Drosophila melanogaster: one gene and its partner. The protein of the gene in region 2 purifies or fractionates together with the protein of the main gene of each other region. This does not show direct contact. Each region holds a gene or a part of one and is shown on either strand. Other genes may lie near its edges. The genes, in order: Grip75 and Grip91.

Region 1 (3,933 bases), on a different chromosome or scaffold from region 2:
AAAGGACGTTGGGTTGATGAGAAAATTCTGGATGTATTTGTCCGCGAATTTCGAGCCGCACCGCCGGAGGAATATGAACGCAGCCTGGAAGCGGGAAAATTGACTGTTAACTCTGAGAAAGTGCCCAAGGACTATAAAATCAAGCACAATGATCTGCTGGCCAATGTGGTGCATAGGTAAGCATCAGCAGGAAATCTCATTTGAATATGCACACATTTGCATTCTAGACACGAAGTCCCTGTTACTTCACAGCCCATCAAGATTGTGTACATGGACAAGGATATTGTGGTTGTGAATAAGCCGGCATCGATACCGGTAGGTATACTAATTTGGAAGGAATTTGATTTAATAACAATCGTATGTTGTAGGTACATCCTTGTGGAAGATATAGACACAACACGGTAGTTTTCATCCTGGCCAAGGAGCACAATCTGAAGAACCTGCGAACCATTCACAGATTGGATCGTCTCACATCTGGCCTACTTTTGTTTGGACGGACTGCTGAAAAAGCCCGCGAATTGGAGCTGCAAATCCGAACTCGCCAAGTGCAAAAGGAATACGTTTGCCGCGTTGAAGGACGCTTTCCAGAGTAAGTCCAAAATGCATCTAATCTTTTATATATCTGCTTATTTTTCATATCTTTCGTAGTGGCATAGTTGAATGCAATGAGAAAATCGACGTCGTGAGCTACAAAATAGGTGTTTGTAAGGTTTCACCGAAGGGCAAGGACTGTAAGACCACATTTAAAAGAATCGGCGAGGTGGGCAGTGATAGTATTGTTTTGTGCAAACCACTAACAGGACGAATGCACCAAATACGAGTGCATTTACAATTCTTGGGTAAGTGACAACCAGATAATTCCATTCAATTATAACACTCGTATTTCACAGGCTATCCCATTTCAAATGATCCTTTGTACAACCATGAAGTTTTCGGTCCATTGAAAGGAAGAGGAGGAGATATCGGTGGAATAACCGAGGAACAGTTGATCAGTAACCTAATTAGCATTCATAATGCAGAAAACTGGTTGGGCTTGGAAGGAGATCAAATCGTATCAGGGGAAATAAAAGACGTAGCAGCAAGTACTTCAGTAGTAGAGGCTCCCTCAGTAGTTCAGGCTCCTATTAATAGTGAAACTGAAAAGCCTGTGATTTCAAAAAACCTTGAACCAAGTAACGATGTAAGTAACTTAAAATAGTTGTACAAGTCTGGAGAACACAATGCTTATAGGCTACTGCACAGATTGCCACCCAAACGTGCTATGAGGAACCAGACAGGTCCTTTGATTCCAAGAAGACAACTTCGGATCCGCAATGTTCTGAATGCAAGATAAACTACAGAGACCCCGGCACAAAGGATCTCATAATGTACTTGCATGCATGGAAATACAAGGTCAGTTTCAAACTATACATTTTTAAAGATTTAATTTCAAATTAAATCTTATTTTCAGGGCGTTGGTTGGGAGTACGAAACCGAATTGCCGGAATGGGCGTGTAATTCGAATATTGATTACGATAAAGTATAAAGGAAAAATTGATTGCAAACACGACGCTTTAGTAAAAAGAAATATTTTTACAGAGTTTAACAAATTGTGTTTCCATTTTATCTTCATTTGTAGCATTGTTTTATTACTTTGCCGAATTACTTTATCATTTTGCGGTGCAAGGGGATGTCCTCGTGGAGTATTATTTATCGTCGTGCAGTGGATGTCCTAGGATGCCAACTATCCTGGATAATACTTTGCAAGAACTTCACCTGAACACTCTGCTCACAGTGGTTTCAGTTAACTGCAGTTCTGCGAATTTTTAAAATTTAAAACCACAATCAGTTGGCGGGAAGGGAATGCCCCTAATTCTATCGATTAGTTGGTTCTTATCGATAACGGACGGGGCAGGATATGTGTCATCTCTGTCGGACATCTGGCGCAAATGAAATACAAATACCGAATTAAAGCAGCAAAACAATGATACACGATTTGTTATTGGCTTGCCGGAGCCACAATCCGGAGCAGCTGGGTATAAAGGCATTCAATGTAAGTAAAATCGTTGGAAATAAATAATTTCGAAAGCCTTACAAGCGAACTTTCTAGGAAACCACAGTCATTGACCAGTTCATACATCCTTGCGAGCGGGAGATATTTATGGACATTATAAAAATCATTAAGGTTTACCAAGAAGTTGAGCAGTTTACCCATTCATCGGGAAGAAAGTCCGACACACATGGCGAACTTCCAGGTATAAATGGAAGGTTGCATAGTGTTTTTAAGATTTCAAATGTGTATTTCTATCGCAGATAGTTTGCATGGTTACTACTTGCTCAATTTGGCCAAGGGCATTGAAATGGCTCTGGAGGAGTACTACGCTGAGATCGGACGTCTGGAGAAGTATTGTTTGGGTAACGAGCGCAATTCGCTCTCATATGTCTACAATGCCCTGTACGCCAAGTTCCCCCTTCTGGTCTTCATGCGTAATCTCATCACAGAGATCCATGTGCTGAATCTGCGAGGATGCGTCTTGCTCCACAATCTACATCAGCAGTGCGAGCACGGCGATATTCAACTGGAAAAAGCAATCAAGATGCAAGTGATAGCCAACACACAACGCCTTGTTTCCATAATCCAAATGCTCTTCATTATGCAGAATTATGAAGCCTGTTAAGAACGCATTTTTCTCCAGCCTGGCTCACTGGCTGTTGTTTGGAGTGATTGACGATGTCCACTCGGAATTCTTTATTAAGTTTACCCCAACGGATGCAGTTGATGGTAGCTCATTCAGCAAATCAGCCACTTGCTCACTTCTGGTAACAACTTAACAAGCGATTATCCTTACCCTATATTATAAATAGCATATCTATATCCAGAGCGCAGAGAAAAACCCCGAGGATTACATATGGCAATATGAGGTGAATATGTCTCAGCTGCCAGGATTTTTCTCCATCGTTTTAGCCGAAAAAGTTCTGTTCGTGGGACAAACAGTGCTGGTCTTCAAAATGGGGCGCAACGTAAAAGTTAAAAACAAAACCGACCCACTGGCGGCAAAACTGGCTGAATTGGATTCAGATGATATCTATCAGCTGTGGAGCGGCAGGGAGTCCGAGTTCTTCAAAATGGTCGTTGATTTGAGCAACGAGGACACCATCAATGTGTTTCGCCTCGAGAAGGTTATTATCGATATCAAGAATTACGTTAGCGCCCGGCTGTCGGAGATCGCTGTGAACGAAGTGGATCTGGAGCGGCAAATGGGACTGATTAAGGACTTCTTTTTGCTAGGCAGAGGAGAGTTCTACTTGGAGTTCTGCTCCCAAATGGTCGGTACCATGGAAACTTATCGCGAAGAACGTTTTAAAAACGTCACTAGATCATTTGAGGTACTAATTACGCATAATGTTGTTAAATATGTATTTTAGATTTACATTTTTAACTCATACTCAGCTGGCAGCTACTGTCACGGGAATCACAGATGACTTGGACAAGTTTTCACTGATCTGCCAGAGAAGCACGTCTGAACCAGACGATACCTCCGACTTTAATTTTCTGCAAGGCCTCAGTCTAAAATATGAGTATGAGTGGCCATTGAATCTTTTGTTCTCCCCAACAACGATCGAGCGGTACAACAATATATTCCGATTTTTACTGATCATTCGAACATATCAATACGAAATACAAAGGGTCTGGGCCAAGCAGACTTGGAGGGCGAAGAGTGCAAAGGATGTGCCTCCAAATAACAAAATCATAACTCTTCGCAACTATCTAATGTTCTTTCTGAACAACATGCAGTATTACATTCAAGTTGATGTGCTGGAAAGTGAGTTTTTGAGCGCAATACGAAATTGATCGAAAATAACTCACATTTTGTTACAGGTCAATTTGGAATTTTGATGAATGTGATCAAGAGCAGGAGTGATTTCGAAGTTATACAAAGGGCTCACACTGTA
Region 2 (3,933 bases):
GATGTTCTGCTGATCCAGCTTGAAACGGCCCGTTACCACATCCTTCTTCAAATACTTCCCTTGAACGCCGGTGAAGGAGTAAATGGCACTCATCACTATATCATGTCGAGACTCGGGCAACATCTTTGTTGCATCCAGGTAGTTGGGCAAGGACTGTTTTCTCAATCCGATGCTGGACTGTGTGGCATCATAACTGTGGCTTGCTGCTGCTCCTGTTACCGCTGCTGCTCCTGTTACCGCTGCTGCTCCTGTTACCGCTGCTGCTCCTGTTACCGCTGCTGCTCCTACTCCATTTCCGTTGACCACTCCCATCTCATTCAGACTGGCTATGGAGGAACTTATTGAGTTAAGACGACTGACCAGAATCTGAGTGAGATTATCGCACTGAGTACGTGGATCTTCGCTGGCAACTGCCTTTTCGGCATCCGAATTGTCGGTCATCGTAAGTAGATGGGTCATTAGCGAGTGCCTCATGTGCGGATCGCACTTGGTCAACGTGAGTTTCCTGTACAGCTCATTGAAGTGATCCGACACAGTTTTGCCCTCCTCCTTCTTATTCCGGGCGCTCAGCAGTTTCATTATCTTCTGGACACATTCGCGCTCAGTCAACATATTTGAGTCCCGAATGACCCGACTATTGGCGGCAATCATTTTGCTTAAATGATCCATTGCTTTTTCTGCAAAAGATTGAACAAAGTGCATTAAAACAAGGGCAATGAAGCCTACAATTATGTATAGTGTCTAGTGTATGTGTTGCATTACGTATCCTTAGATTCATTGATTTGGAAATTGTACGTATTGAGGACCTTGAGGATCTAAGAAACTTGCTCATACTTTTATAGTTAAGTATATGTGATCAATAGTCATTTAAAAACAATTCAAAACTATCTACTTTCGGATAAATATCTTTGAATACTTTGAATTGTTTGTGGGATATATACATTAATTTTGAACATTTACGACTATGCAACACACTTTGGCAATGGTTATTGCTACATTTAATCTAGAACTATAAAAATATAAGTATATGTATTGTTAGTTGCATATCTCAAGGACTCTCTGTTTGAAAATGCCATGAAATATGTTGAGTTTCTGGGATTAACTATAATCCTGAAGCACGTGGTCGATTCCCAAGGGTGGAGGCCTTCTTCCCGGAATGCCAGAGCAGTCCGTATGCCTTGCGTGCCTGGACAGCCAGTGAGTGATTGCACATTCCCAAATCTCACCGTGAACTTCGGGCATCTGCTTGCCCTTGATGCAGATGATCATCTCGTTAATGATATTCGATATATCAGTGGAATTGGTTGCCACATCGATGCCGGCGATCCTGTCCTGCGACATCCTGGTGCACTGAATTGTTCATAAATATCCAATCAAGCGCGCGTTAAACAGCCGATTTTGGATGGCTTGGTAATTGCGAAGTGGACAACAACTGTTGGCCAATGGCAAACGCACAGCTGTTCCCTGGCTATAATACGGCGTGCAGTCACTGGCAATTGTTCGGGATGCGTGAAATCTTCGACAGATAGGACAAAAACGCATCCAATTGGCGCGTACTTCATACAAATAATTTATTAAAATTATTTAGTGCAGTGTTACCGAATCTGGGAAACTTGACAAGGCAAAGTCCTAGCCGCTGGCGGGCACACACTGGCCGAAGGTGCAGCGATCTGGCAGCGCTCGTCTGCAATAGGCTATGCCATTTTGATTATCGTTCTACATTTTACTATAAAAATGTATTTCTGTCGGAATGTTACTGAATGTAGCATTTTTGTATAACAGTTATGTTTAGAAGTGCAGCTTTCAGCTTTTATGTTAATTCCATTGCAAACATCTGACAGCTCTGGGGCCGCAAACGTTTCCAACTCTCACTCGCCTGGTCACACTGTCCGTTTTGCATTTGCAATTGCTTGTAAGCAAAAATGGTAAACTTTAAAATTGTTAATATTTAATATAAAGGCTGAAGACATAGATGAGACTGACCAACTGCGTTTCGCCATGGAGCACACCAACGGCTGTAATTGGCTACAAGTCGTGTTTGATACCTACTGCTGGGGGAGTTAAAGCTTAAGGTGCTGCAAGGATGTCTTGGAATTCCAATGGACAAGGACTTTCCTTCGTCGCAATGGGCCATCAGCAGCTGGATGCGGTGGAGCAGTACCTGGAGCAGCCAACCCAACTACCTAGCAATATGTGGGCTAATCCTGAGCCCCAGAAATCAAGCTGGAACCACCGAGTGAACCGGTGACCAAGAAGGATTCTTCGCCACCAGATTTGAACGCGAAATAATATGTGAAATAATATATAATGTATATAATGTGTATTGAAACAGAAACCTCCGGTATTTAATTTAGAACATAGTTAAACTCTCATCCGGTTTACCTTACTCACTTCTATACGTAATTGCATTTAATATCCGGAGATTTCTGTAACGAAAAAAAAGCAAAATAAATGTTGGCCCGATCCTAAATTATTTCCAACTAAATAAACGAATTTGCCCATTGAAAACGCATTAAAATATGTTTTTAATTTTTATTTTTGATGTATATTTTCTGCTTTTAACACATTAGTTTATATATATATATATGTAGATATATATATTAAATATATATAGATGTGTGGGCGCGCATTTTTAAGAATATGTCGAATTTTGTTTCTTCATGAAGTGTGAACATTTTAAAATATAAGTGCGGCGAAAACAAAGTCTTTTTCTTATCATATAAAATGCAGCTTTTATTCAATCAAAAAAAAAAAAAAGCAAGCAGAATAAGATGAATCCGTGGGTAAATATACGTATAAAGTAAAATTAAGCTTAATTATGTTAGTCTTCTGACACACAAAGTTACAAAAAAATTAAGGAAAATCATGTTTTCGATGCGCATAGGAATATTATAAATGTTTTTCTCAATTTCAAGTCAATGGAATTTGTTTTGTGTAATCATCAGAGTTTTGATTGCGTTGATAGCATAAATCATCATCATTGGTTCGTTCCAAATACAAGTTATTCAATCAATTCAATCAACCCAAGAGGTGTGTGTGAGTGTGTGTGTACGAGTGCCTATAACAGTTTCATGTAAATAATATGCTTTGATTTCATGTGGCATAATGACGGTCGTGCTAAGTACGCCCACTCGCATCCTTTATGTGAGATCCTAGCCACAAAAAGCGACCCATCTCTGTTCCTGTTGCTCCTGCTCGTGGTTCCCCGCATACTTTTGGCTGGATTCTTCTTTCTTTTTCTTTTTTTTGTGATCGTTTCACTCATATCTCCTTTTTTAACAAATATTTAAAATATACTTTCGAATTACGCTGGTAGTTACATGTAGGTAAGATATACGTTGTAGGTGTTTATGTAGTATAATAATGAATATAGTTTAAACGGAGATCAAATTCCGATTGATTGTTTGTTTTTTTGTGGTTTTTTTTTTTTGCTTGTTTTTGTTTTTCGTTTGTGTCCTTATCTGGATTCTGAGGATAAGTTCTTTTTATCAAGTTTGCGACAAATTCTTCATATCGTCTTTTGTTTCTTATAAATGGTGTATTTATTCTTTGCGTTCGTATGAATTTTCGTTTTTTTTTTTTGTAATTTGGTGTTTTTTTTTTTGTTTTTGTTTAATGTTTGCTTCTCTCTTGTTGCTCCTCTAGTTGTCATTGGGTGGCTGGGGGCAGTGGTCATATAAGCATGTGCAGCATATAACGTCCCCGTTGTCCCTATGATTTAATCACGCATGGTGAAGGTAGTCGGCTTCACGTGGCCGCCGTCGCCCTCCGAAACGAAACGCTTGCGTCCGCTGCAAATATAAAACGGGGAAAATTGATCAGAAATCGGTAACACAATTCGAGTAGTAGTAAATATAATGGCCCTTGAAGTTCGGTAAACAAATCATCATTTTAGCCTGATACACATTTGCTATTGTTAAACAATGTTTTTTT

What was found.
Region 1: the proteins of Grip91 (region 2) and Grip75 fractionate together in Drosophila melanogaster (co-fractionation; 2 studies listed by BioGRID). This does not show direct contact.

What each region holds. Positions count from the first base shown.
Region 1 is NT_033779.5:10,481,395-10,485,327, forward strand, and holds the start of Grip75 (Grip75), read left to right. Parts: upstream 1-1,900; 5' UTR 1,901-1,963; coding exon 1,964-2,032; intron 2,033-2,089; coding exon 2,090-2,234; intron 2,235-2,292; coding exon 2,293-2,578; intron 2,579-2,639; coding exon 2,640-2,799; intron 2,800-2,859; coding exon 2,860-3,366; intron 3,367-3,430; coding exon 3,431-3,803; intron 3,804-3,859; coding exon 3,860-3,933. Other genes in the region: RluA-2 (RluA pseudouridine synthase 2), read left to right, coding at 1-176, 228-315, 369-589, 649-839, 891-1,180, 1,231-1,392, 1,451-1,525. UniProt on the Drosophila melanogaster protein: Gamma-tubulin complex is necessary for microtubule nucleation at the centrosome.
Region 2 is NC_004354.4:13,743,058-13,746,990, forward strand, and holds the start of Grip91 (Gamma-tubulin ring protein 91), read right to left. Parts: upstream 1,627-3,933; 5' UTR 1,342-1,626; coding exon 1,227-1,341; intron 678-1,226; coding exon 1-677. Other genes in the region: Pdcd4 (programmed cell death 4), read right to left, coding at 3,719-3,791.